3 linked regions of the Callithrix jacchus genome follow. The protein of the gene in region 2 purifies or fractionates together with the protein of the main gene of each other region. This does not show direct contact. Links are inferred from orthologs where the notes say so. Each region holds a gene or a part of one and is shown on either strand. Other genes may lie near its edges.

Region 1 (3,646 bases), on a different chromosome or scaffold from region 2:
CATATCCATTGCTCCCCATCCTTCCGTCCCTCCAGCCCCTGGCAACCACCAATCTGCTTTCTGGGATTTACCTATTGTGGATATATTATACAAATGGAAGCATATATGACCTTTTATATCTGACTTCTTTCACTTGGCACAATATTTTTGAGATTCATCTCCTTGCAGCATGTATCATAACATCATCCCTTTCTGTGGTAGAGGGACTTTGAATTTTTTTCTTTTGAGATGGGAGTCTGCTCTTGTCACCCAGACTGGAGTGCAGTGTTATGATCTCAGCTCACCGCAATGTCTGCCTCCTGGGTTCAAGCAATTCTCCTGCCTCAGCCTCCCAAGTAGCTGGGATTACAAGTGCCCAGCTAATTTTTTTTGTATTTTTAGTAGAGACAGGGTTTCACCATGTTGGCCAGGCTGGTATCAAACTCCAGACCTCAAGTGATTTGCTCGACTTGGCCTCCCAAAGTACTAGGATTACAGGTGTGAGCCACAGCACCTGGCCGGGACTTTGAATTTTAAGATATCAGAGTAGAGAATATCGCCTCCTCTGAAATCACCAAAGATGTAAGAAGAGCAAGGAAACCAAAACATACTTGTGCTCTTTGATCTCTAATCATTGACTACAGTACGTGAAGAAAGTCTGTCAAAAGCAGTGAAGTCCAAACAGGAGTGTGGGAAGAAGCCAAAGAAGGATGCTCACAGCTGCAGGTCTCAAGGCAGAGGGAGAGACGATGGTTCCTAGATAGACATGTCCCAGGGCCTGGCATCCTGCACAGGCCAGCAATGAGTGCTCCCCTGACTGGGATTGGTACCAAGGAGGATTGTGTGAGGCCAACATGGAAATGAAATAGACACTGCTGAGGATAGTAATGATGGAATTATAGAAAATGAAGAAATAAAATGGACATAAACAAAGTATTAGAGAAAAAAATGATAGAACTGAGTAATTATTCTAAATTTATAATTGACGTGTCAAAGAAGGAAACTGAATAATGAGTTAAAATTGTTGACTGACTATGATCTCCATAAGGATCAGGGCAAAGCTTGTTCTTCAGTGTGAAAAGCGGAATGCTCACTTTTTGCTCTGCTTTGAGAAATCTTGTTAGATTAGAGGACTCATTGGCACAGTTATAAGGCAACGGGAAGGAGAGAGAGAGGCAGAGACTCATGGTCCAAAAGAGTGGGGGTTAATTGCTAGGGCAAGCTCATGGGAAGAAGGGAGAGGATGGAGTAACAGGGAAAGAAAGGAGTCTGGGTGATGATATAGAAGGTGATGATGCTAGATAAGGATCTTTTACAAACAGTGTTTGGCGTGGAGGAGAGAGGATATAAGCAGAGAGGTTGTGCAAAGGGCATTTTCGTTGTGCTCATTAACAAGGGCACAGAAGCTTAGGGAGTTCTGGGCCTGGTTTTGTTCTACAGGTTTCAAAAACACTAGTGAGTTTTCCTTTGAAAAGAGTGTGTTGAAAATCATGAGTTTTCATAGTTGCTGTGTTCCTTGTCTGAAGTAACGTTTGAAGATAAGAAGCGGGAGAACTTTGAACGTGGCAACCTGGAACTGGAGAAACGAAGACAAGCTCTCCTGGAGCAGCAGCGCAAAGAGCAGGAGCGCCTGGCTCAGCTGGAGCGGGCAGAGCAGGAGAGGAAAGAACGTGAGCGCCAGGAGCAAGAGCGCAAAAGACAACTGGAGCTGGAGAAGCAACTGGAAAAGCAGCGGGAGCTAGAAAGGCAGAGAGAAGAGGAGAGGAGGAAGGAAATTGAGAGGCGAGAGGTAAGCAGGCCAGAGTGGAGCCACCCCAAGTTAGTGTGTGATCATCCCCTTTCAGAATTATCCAAGTGATCTATTCATGCCATCTTTGTCTTTCTTTTTATAATGCAGTGGTTTTAGTATATTCCCAAAGTTATGCAACCATTGTCCTGGTCTAATTCCAGAACATTTTCATCACCCCAGCTCTTACCCATTAAGCAGCTAGACCCATTTCTTTCTCCCTCCAGCTCCTATCACTAATTTACTTTCTATCTCTCTAGATTTACCTATTCAGGACATTTTTTTTTAATAAAAGGAATCATCAATATATGGTCTTTTGCTTCTGACTTTCACTTAGCATAATGTTTTCAAGGTTCATCTACATTGTAAAATGAATCAGTCCTTTATTCCTGTTTATGACTGAGTAATATTTCATTATATGGATATACCATTTAATTCATGTGTTTTAATTCATCACTTGATGGTCGTTGTGGCTATTACAAACAATGCTGTTATGAACATTAATGTACCAGTTTTTGATGATACAGTTTTGTAATAAACCACTGATAACGGTGTTTTTCTGGACTGTTTTCTCTGTATAAATCTATATAAAAATATAAATGTTTTTATGGTGGAGAGCGTAAGGATTGTGTGTATACATATATATATTTTGAGACAGAGTCTTGTGCTTTCGCCCAGGCTGGAGTGCAGTGGCACAATATCAGCTCACTGCAGCCTCCACCTCCTGGTTCAAGCGATTCTCCTACCTCAGCCTCCCAAGTAGCTGGGATTACAGGCGCACGCCACCACACCCAGCTAATTTTTTTTTTTTGGTATTTTTAGTAGAGATGGGGTTCCACCATGTTGACCAGGCTGGGCTCCTGACCTTGTGATCTGCCCACCTTGGCCTTCCAAAGTCCTGGATTACAGGCATGAGCCACCGTGCCCAGCCAGGTTGTATAATTTTTTAAACACCACTGTAATTGTGTCATACCAATTACATTGTTCGGCAACCTTCTTTTTAAACTCTTTTAAAAATATTTCTGGGACATCCTATATTCTATGGAAGGCTTCATAAATTTAGCCCCATACCTGGAAAGGGGCTGAGCCAATCTTATCTCTCTTTCCAGTTTATTATGTTACTGCAGAAGCAACACATGGTTCTCTCATGTGAATGAAATATAAAAATGAGGAATTTTTCATTATAAAAAAAATAGCCTGAGTACCATGCCTCAAGCCTGTAATTCCAGCACTTTGGGAGAATAAGGAGGAAAGATCACTTGAGGCCAGGAGTTGGAAGCCGGTGCGTTCTAGGCTGGGTAATGGAGCAAGACCCTGTCTCAAAAGAAAGAAAACTTTTAGCCATAACTCCCTTTTGTTCAGACAGATAGTAACAAAATTTTAATTTTCAGAATGGACAAGCAAAGACAGGCAAACATTACTTTAACGTACAAAAAAAAGATATTCTAGAGTATTTATTCAAAATTATTAATAGACATTTACCAGGTGTACATTGCCAGGTGTAGTTGGAAGACCCATGAGTCAGAGGCAATTCTGATAAACTGTCAGGTGCTCTGATATGTACTCTACCTAACAGTCCTCAGAGCCGGTGTTGGAGAGGGCTAAAGCTTTTGTGGTAAAAAGGAAATGAATGATTAGGAAGGGGGGAGTCACAAACTTTAAAATGAATTAAATAATAATTTCTCCTTTGGTGGAATAAAATCAAGTTTTGTTTGTTTTTGTTCAGGTGTGTTTTAGTTTGATTCTACTAGGTGAAATTTTCCTTCTCAGTGTGTCAGTAAATAAGGAGAACTTTTAGTTAGCACATCAAGCATTCTTGAAGACATAAAGAATGGAATTCTAATGGAAAAATGATTCTGTCAGTTCTCTTCTTACATAAAT
Region 2 (3,646 bases):
GCCAGGAAGGAAAGGTACCCTTGTGGAGTAAGGACTAGGCCTTGGCATCTGTGAAAAATGTCTTTCACCCAGGTCACCCTCTCAACGTGGGACTCATTTCCCACCTCCCATGTCGCCACGGCAGAAGCCATGACAGATTCCCCCTCTGGCAAAAGAGAGCTGGGGCTTGATGCCCAAATGCAGTCTGTTAACACAACTGCGGAGATTGAGCAGACCTCAAGGAACATTGTGGATAAAGGCTGCTTTAAAATGCCTAGTGGCCCCCACAGTTCCAGGCCGTGACGATTTCACACTGCCACTGTCTCTCCCCAGTCTGCCCCCACGGGCCCAAGCCTGCTCAGGAGCAGCGGCTGCCTCTCCACTCCCGCCCCTTCTCTGCTCCTGCCATCTCCTGTGGAGGGTTCCAAGAGAAAGACGAAGAAGCAGGCTTGGGGGTGGCTCAGTCATCAGCCATCCAGCTCTGACACCACATGCTGCTCTGCTGACCCGTACGCTGCCGGCCACTGCAGAGACAAAGCCTCCGTCCTCACGCTCCCGCTCCTTCCAGTCCCCCTGGTATGTCGTGTACAGTGGGCCATGCCCCCGCCCCAGCCACCCGCAGACACATCTAGACTTCTTTCCTCATGGTTGTTTATTCTAGAGCTCGATCATCCTTTCCTTCCCCTTTGCTGGCCGCATGGAATGAGGTCTGAGTTCCTCCTTTTGATCCAGGTGGATTCGTCACTTCCTGTGTCATTTCCATGTCGCTATATCATGCACCAGTTGCAGCATGCATTACAAATTACTTTCCCTGTACTCCCCCCTTGACATCACAGTTGGGGTGTCAGGGCACTAATGGGAATCGTGTGTGTGTTGGATGCAGAGTCATAAAGGGAACACTGTGTTTTGTTGGTTTCTAAAAGGGACAGTGGGTCCAAGGGAGGCGGCTTGGCCATTTGGGTGACACCTCTGGGATGGCAGGTTCTCAGGCTCTCACCTCACAGTGTGGTCATCTGTGAACCACCACTAAGGACAGTCATTTCTCCCAAACCACTAAGCAACACCCTGAATTTTACTGCTCTGCTTGGGAGGATTTGCCTCTTGAGAATTATCTGGCAATTCTCCCAAGTGAAGCCTTCTCTAAGGCCACAAGGCTCTGAGCAACAAGCTCAAAATTGACTTCAGCCCTGGCCAACGGCAAGAGGAGTGCCCTAGCCCTAGGATGCCGGCTGTGTCCAGCCCTGGGGAAGGCAGGGGTGAGGTCGGCTCCTCAACTGGGCCCTGAGGTGCAGACAGGGTCTCCCTATGCTCATCCTCCTGCCGGGAGCCAAGGCACTGACCTTTCCAGAGCAGGGCCTCCCATGGGAGGCAGCAGCAGCCCTGGCTGCCTAGGTCACCCTGCTAGAGGCCCCACGGCCCTGCTGCCCACACTTCCCAAAGGCAGCTGTGGCCAAGACCAGGCCTCCTGCTAGAACCAGCATCATGGCCAGTAAGAAGAAGGCCCAGCTATGTAAGTAGATGGCCTAGGAGCTCTTGAGAGGGGTCAGAGGCCCCTCCTAGCGGAAGACCGTGAACTGACCAGCACGGAGTGCAGGCTTTGAGCTTTGGCACATGCACTTTGCTCAGCCTCTGTCAGGCCAGGGAGAATAAAGGACGCCAGACACAGCAGAAGCCTGCAACAGCTGAAGGGGGGCCCCCTGATCACCACCCCCCACAGGTCTCCACCCACAGGCCCCCTGGAGCCACCCACAGCCACAATGGCCACCTGTCCGGCCTTACCATATGTGTGCTAGAAGGTTCTGGGTGAGGCCCGAGTGCATGAAGATCTCCTTCACCTCCTGGCCACTCACATAGCCGTCCAGGTCCAAGTCGGTCTTCAGGAATATCTCATCAAATCGCATCTTGTCAGCCACGGGCACCACCCAGTTAACTGTTGGCTAAAACAGTTTTTGGCGATTAATCCGGAAGCTTCTGATGACCCACACACACATGATTTTTGATGACAGGTGATTAAAGCATTTCCATGCACATTTGGCATCAAAGTCTCCTCAGTTCCATGAGCTAAGAGGGCAGACAGTATCTTTGTTCTGTAAGTAGTGAAACTGATGCGGAGATAGGCTGAAGCTGGCTCTGAGAAGCTCACCCAGACACCAGTCTGTGCCTCTCTGCACCCCATTACCCACTGTCCTTATCCATCACCCTGCCACCCAGGGCGTGAGGGAGGCTGTGATCTTCATGTGATGGATTCCAGCATGCCAGGAAAGACCCTCTCGAGCACTCTCATTTGGAAGGACCATCCCCTTAGAGCCAGGATGGCCACAGGCCAGCCTCCCTGGACTTCCTGCTCCTCCACCCGCAGAGGCTTCCCTGCAGGCAGCCAAGCAACCCATCCCAGGACTCTCTAGAACACCCTTCTACATCCCTGACCTCAATCCTGAGACAACAAACCCCCCCCCCCAAGATGTCAGGGCACACACATCACTGACAGGTAACAAATAAGATCCCACCATCCAAAAGGGCCACCACCCACAAGGCCCCACCACCATTCACGCAGCCTCAACCCTGCCAGGGCAGACGGAGCCACGAGCCCAGTGCAGCTTGAGGTTCACAGCCCCAGGGCTGGGCCACCTGCTGCACCTGCAGCCCCTCACCACCAGCTCACAGTTAGCCTGAGAGATGCAAACGCCATTGTGGGTCAACCAGGGCCTGGTCACCTCCTGGTTCAGAGGCATCAAGGCCCCTCAGCACTCAGGGTCAGGCCCCTTTTGTGGCCCACTCTGCCTGCATCGCCGCGGGGCCTCCAACATACCCATCACACCACAGTCCACGGAATCTGTGTTCTGAACTCTAGACATGCTTTTCCTCTTCCCGTTTTTTGTTTTTTTTTTTGTCGTATTTATACAAATCACTCCTTTTAAACAATCTCATAATAGCAATGAGAATAAACACCTGAGATGATGAAGGAAAGAAAGGAAGGGCATATACGGCTGGAGGATTCCATCGTTCCTCCTCCAGCGACTGTACAGAAAAGCGCCACCCACACTTCACCTTCAGTGAATGCCATGATGCCTGAAACTGCCACTCAAAGTCATTCCTCTTAGTTATGAAAGGATTTCCTAAGCCAGGTGCAGTAGCTCACACCTATAATCCCAGCACTTTGGGAGGCCAAGGTGGTTGAGGTTGAGGCTGGTTCCGTTCCTGAGGCTAGCTGAGAGCACCTGAGTCCAGGAGTTCAAGACCAGCTTGGACAAAATGGCAAAACTCTGCCTCTCCTAAAAATACAAAAATTAGCCAGGTACGGTGGCGCATGCCTATAGTCCCAGCTACTCGGGAGGCACAGGTTGCAGTGAGCCAAGATCATGCCATTGTACTCCAGCCTGGGCGACAGAGGAAGACTCCATCTCTTAAAGAGTTCTCACAGTGTTGCCAACCCGAAGATGTCCACAGGATTAGGAGGAGAAAGGACTCATGGTCAAGGCTGGGAAACAATGGATAAACTCATTTACTCTTCATGAACAAGTCTCCTGTGATGTCCAGATCTAACAGGCTTCTGATACAAACTCAGGGAATTCAGAAAGCAAACTTGAGAAAGAAGGGATACCATGTGAACCAGACCGGCTTACTTCGGGGGTTTCAGGCAGCAGGCATGTGTGATGAAGCACAGCGA
Region 3 (4,337 bases), on a different chromosome or scaffold from region 2:
AGAAGGAAAGAGGACTCAGGGTGAATAGCACCAGGTCTAGAACCCCAAAACACAAATTACATTGGTCAAAGGACGGGAGAAAAATGAACACTGGCTATTTGCCTAACAGGAATAAAAAATAGGTTTTACCTCTCAGGCCGACTCTCTGGAGCACTATGTTGAGAAGGATTCTGGGGCCTTGACTCTCAAATATGAGCCCCAAAAGCGGGTATCAGTTAACTGGTGAAGTCTGCAATGGGAATGAGGCCATGTGCTCAAGATTGCTGTCCTTGGCCTGGGTGGTTTGTTTGCAGATGAGGACAGATTGGTTGGTCCCCAGCAAGTGAGGGGACTCCTAGACTGATAGAAGAGTCAGGCCTCTCTGTGTCACTGAAGCTCAGGACCTGTCTGTCAGGTCTCAGTCAGGTTCTAATCAAAGACTTAGGAAAAACACTGAGTGTGAGAGCGGGACAAGCCTGTTTATCATCATCAATGTTTGCTAAATTCCTTGTGAGCTGGCTGACCAGTTCAGATAGGCCTGGATTTGCAGCCCTCTCACCTTCACCTGCCTCAACAGGTAAGGAATGAGAAGATGCCATGGGGCCATTTGATCTGGCTCAAGACATTATCTTACTCAAGGAGAAGAAAATGTCAATACTAGAAAAAAATAAAAAAGCCTGGCCAGACTGGACCAAGCAATACAAAATGATCTGATCCACTGTATATTTTAAATTAAAACACTGTTGCTATCTAAACCCAGAAGAGCATGGCCTGTGTTTCTCTAACAAAGATCAAATCATGGGGATACCAGTTTTGGATGCTGGACCCGCCCTCGCCCTCCTCCTAAAAGCCAAAGAAATCTTGGGTCTTGGCCAGGTGTGGTGGCTCATGCCTGTAATCCCAGCACTTTGGGAGGGTGAGGCAGGCAGATCACGAGGTCAAAAGATCGAGACCAGCCAGGCCAACATGGTGAAACACTCTCTACTAGAAATACAAAAATTAGCCAGGCATGGCGGAGGGAAGGAAGAAGGAAGGAAGAAGGAAGGAAGGAAGGAAGGAAGGAAGGAACCAACCTTGGATCTTACATTCCAAAATCTTGAGTCTTACATTTGGTTATGTTCATTAGGAAATACTAACTCCTACCTCACCCCAATCAAAAGAAAGCCTTTCCCTTAAAGGAGAGCCTGGTGAAGGGCAAGACCAGGAACTGGGAGGGGAGAAAAAGGAGACACATTCTGAGTTTGAGCTAAAACTGTTCCTTGGCTATGGGGTGGGGAAGAAAGTTGAGCTTTGGCGCTCTCTGGGCACAGAGTCTTCCTGCTGCTCCTGGGAGTGTGAATAGGGTAGAGGGTGCTCCCCGGGGACGCTCTGCGTGTGTCAGGAGGAGGGCAAAGGTTAGTGAATGGATGACCCTCAGGTATGATGAAGTCCTTCAGATCCCAGAGAAGGGTTGAAGAGGCAATAGAACCTCCTTCCCACCTTCCACCCCCCAATTCCCAGAGAACTCGTGCCCCCAGATCAGTGGAGCAAATTTCGGCGAGTGCGAAGGTTCCAGGGAAAGCCCCGTGTGGGTGCAACAGGGATGTGCCAGGCACTGCTTGGCACTTTCCAAAACCCCGGGGTCTGTCGTGGCAGGAAAAGCACCACCCAAGCTTAGCATGTCACCTCAGGGAGGAGGAGCCAGGTGGGTCTCCGCAGCTCCAGGAAGGGCTGCCAGGTCTGGGGCTTCGGGGCTTCCCCGAGGGCAGAGAGGAGCACTTCGGGCCCTAGCGATTCCGAGCCGACCTTCAGGGATCAGTGCTCCGGAACTCCGGGGGCGAGGAGCCACGCCCGGGCAGTTTCGGGCTCCCGAGGGTGGGGAGTCGGTGCCCGGCAGCGGGCGGGCCGTCTGCTGCCCGGCCCGGCGCCTACCTCCCCGCCCCCCGGCTTCCTGCGGAGGCCGCGGCCGCCATGTTGTTGTGGGGCTGAGGCGGCGCCCGCGGAGCCCAAGCGGCCGTGACAGGCTACGCAACAGGTTCGCTGGCGGCGGCCTGACGACCAAGCCGGCTGCAGCGGCGGCGACGGCGGCAGAGCAGGGTCTCCCAGCGCCTGCCCGCTCCCAGGTTGCTGGTGCCGAGGAGCGCGAAGTCGCGCTGTGACGTGAGGGAGGAGCGGCGAAGGCGCCAGGTGGGTGAAGCTGCTCGCGGGGCTGCCGCAAGGCGAAGGGCAGGTGCGGACGCTGCGCCCGCCGCCTCGAGGCTCCGCGGGTTGGGCTGAGGCGGCTGCGCGCTCCGCACGACGGGGACGGGTCCTCCGGAGTACGGAAGGCCCCCGAGCTAGGCCCCTAGCGGGCTCGGCGGCGGCGGGCGGAAGCCTCTGGCCCCGGGTTCCTTCCCTTGCCGCCGGGCCGGGGCGGACGCCGAGGGGGCCTGGGCTGGGCTTCCCCTTCCTTGCGGCCGAACCCCGGCCCCCGGTCGCGGCCTCGTCTGGCAGGTGGCGGACGCCGGCGAGGGTCGGGGGCGGCGTGGCCCCTAGCTTTTGGGGTGCGAGCAGAAGAGAGCTCTGGGGGCACCCGCACGTCTCCTCGGGGACCCATTTTATTTTCGCGGAGTTGGTTTTCCTTGCTGGCAAGGGTTGGTGCGGAATGTCAGGTGAGCCGCATCCCGGTGCGTCAAAGTAGCCCGAGTCACGAGAGGCCAGTGGGCGGATGCTTGGCGTCCACGGCTCGCGTTCCGCGGGAGTTGGAAATGTTAAAATTTACCTTCAGCGTTATTGACTTCCAGGGTATACAGGAAGCACCGAGCGATATAATTTCTCAGGACAGATAAAGTTTATTGCTTTTTGTTTGTTTTAAAGACGTCTGCATGTGCATAGCGAATGGGTAAACCGAGGCTGAAACTGCAGATGGCTTTGCATTCTGTAGAAAGGTAATCCATTGGGATTTATTAATTATGCCCTTTGTCGCTCCAGAATTACCAATGGCAAGTGTGCTTTGTTTGAAACTTGTGTTAATAATGAAATAGGAATATTTTTTGATAGAGCCACCCCTTTATGATGGGAATTGTTAGCAGAGAAATAACTTGCTGTGCTTCACGCTTCTGGTTTGTTTCACTAGTGTTTGCTTGCTTACTCAGAAATAGGCAAGGTGTGACTTGAACTTTTGTGTTTGTTAGTCAGCTCAGTTTAGGTAGCATAAGCTCTTGTAGGTTAAAGCTTCTTAAGAGTTTCAAAAAATTAATTGCCTCTCTCTCTGTGCTAGTTTGCTATATTGTTAATCAGTGATAAAACCCAAAACCTACCTAGAAACATCAGATAAAACATTTACGTGAATTAATGACATCCCTCAAAATTTAAAGATACTGACAACTCTGATGTGTTCACCTTTAGGTTTTTTTGGCCGTGCCTGTGATGCTCTTGTAATTTAAAAAGTAAAGTGGATGTATTTTATGTTTTTGAAAATGTGGAAGAATGTGCATTGTAGTATTAATAAGTAGTTGAAAAGCTTGCATTTTTTCACCCTTCCATGCATTGATAACTATTCCCTGTGCTCACCTTTATAATAATGACAGGTAAACTCGTCGGAGAAAACTTGACCTGTACAGAACTATTGAGCAGGGAGGTACCATTGTTCAGTACATCTCAAGGCTAAAATCTTGATCTCTCCTGAATATGAGGAGGTGTGTTAGGCGTGTTCTGGGGATTGGATTAATAGTGTTACAAAATTGGTATTTTCACAAAAATAGCATGTACCCCAACCATAAGTCAAACTCGGCAGCTTTCAGCAAGCTTTTCTTTTTTCTTTTAAAAAATCATTTTACCTTATATAGTCAGTATATCTTTTTTTAAAAGTAGAAAATTCCTTATGAAACCTTAGGATTTTTAGTTTTAATGTATTGTAGAGTGTCACAAATGTCCATCTTCAATAAGACAAAAGGGTCACATATTGGCTGTATCCTTCAACTATACTTTCTTCAGTATTAAAATATGTTTACCATGGTTGTCATTTATCAAAACTGTAACTGCATGTTAAACTCTGTGCTGTTTTACATAATCATTTAAAGCTTACTAAGACCCTAGGAGTAATTATTATTCTCTCATCAAAAAGATAAGTGAAATGTAACCTGAAGTTTAACTGACAACTCTAGGTCTCTGAGCTAGTAAGTACAATAGCCAGATAGCCAGGTTTCAAGCCAAGATCCTTTTAACTTCAGCACCTGGGCCTTATCTGGTATAGTCATCTTGGTTCATAACTTTTAAAAAGAGTTATATGGGCCTGGTGCAGTGGCTCATACCTGTAATCCCAGCACTTTGGGAGGCCAAGGTGGGTGGATCACGAGGTCAGGAGTTCGAGACCAGCCTGGCCAATATGGTGAAACCCC

What was found.
Region 1: the proteins of EPS15L1 (region 2) and ITSN1 purify together in Homo sapiens (affinity purification with mass spectrometry; 4 studies listed by BioGRID and IntAct, with this or other methods). This does not show direct contact. The link is inferred for Callithrix jacchus from reciprocal best matches to the Homo sapiens genes EPS15L1 and ITSN1.
Region 3: the proteins of EPS15L1 (region 2) and ITSN2 purify together in Homo sapiens (affinity purification with mass spectrometry; 5 studies listed by BioGRID and IntAct, with this or other methods). This does not show direct contact. The link is inferred for Callithrix jacchus from reciprocal best matches to the Homo sapiens genes EPS15L1 and ITSN2.

Annotation. Positions count from the first base shown.
Region 1 is NC_133522.1:39,846,215-39,849,860, forward strand, and holds part of ITSN1 (intersectin-1), read left to right. Parts: intron 1-1,505; coding exon 1,506-1,768; intron 1,769-3,646. UniProt on the Homo sapiens protein: Adapter protein that provides a link between the endocytic membrane traffic and the actin assembly machinery. Acts as a guanine nucleotide exchange factor (GEF) for CDC42, and thereby stimulates actin nucleation mediated by WASL and the ARP2/3 complex.
Region 2 is NC_133523.1:15,035,895-15,039,540, forward strand, and holds part of EPS15L1 (epidermal growth factor receptor substrate 15-like 1), read right to left. Parts: intron 1,917-3,646; coding exon 1,759-1,916; intron 1-1,758.
Region 3 is NC_133515.1:90,872,009-90,876,345, forward strand, and holds the start of ITSN2 (intersectin-2), read left to right. Parts: upstream 1-1,499; 5' UTR 1,500-1,663; intron 1,664-1,913; exon of another isoform or gene 1,914-2,145; intron 2,146-2,656; exon of another isoform or gene 2,657-2,885; intron 2,886-4,337.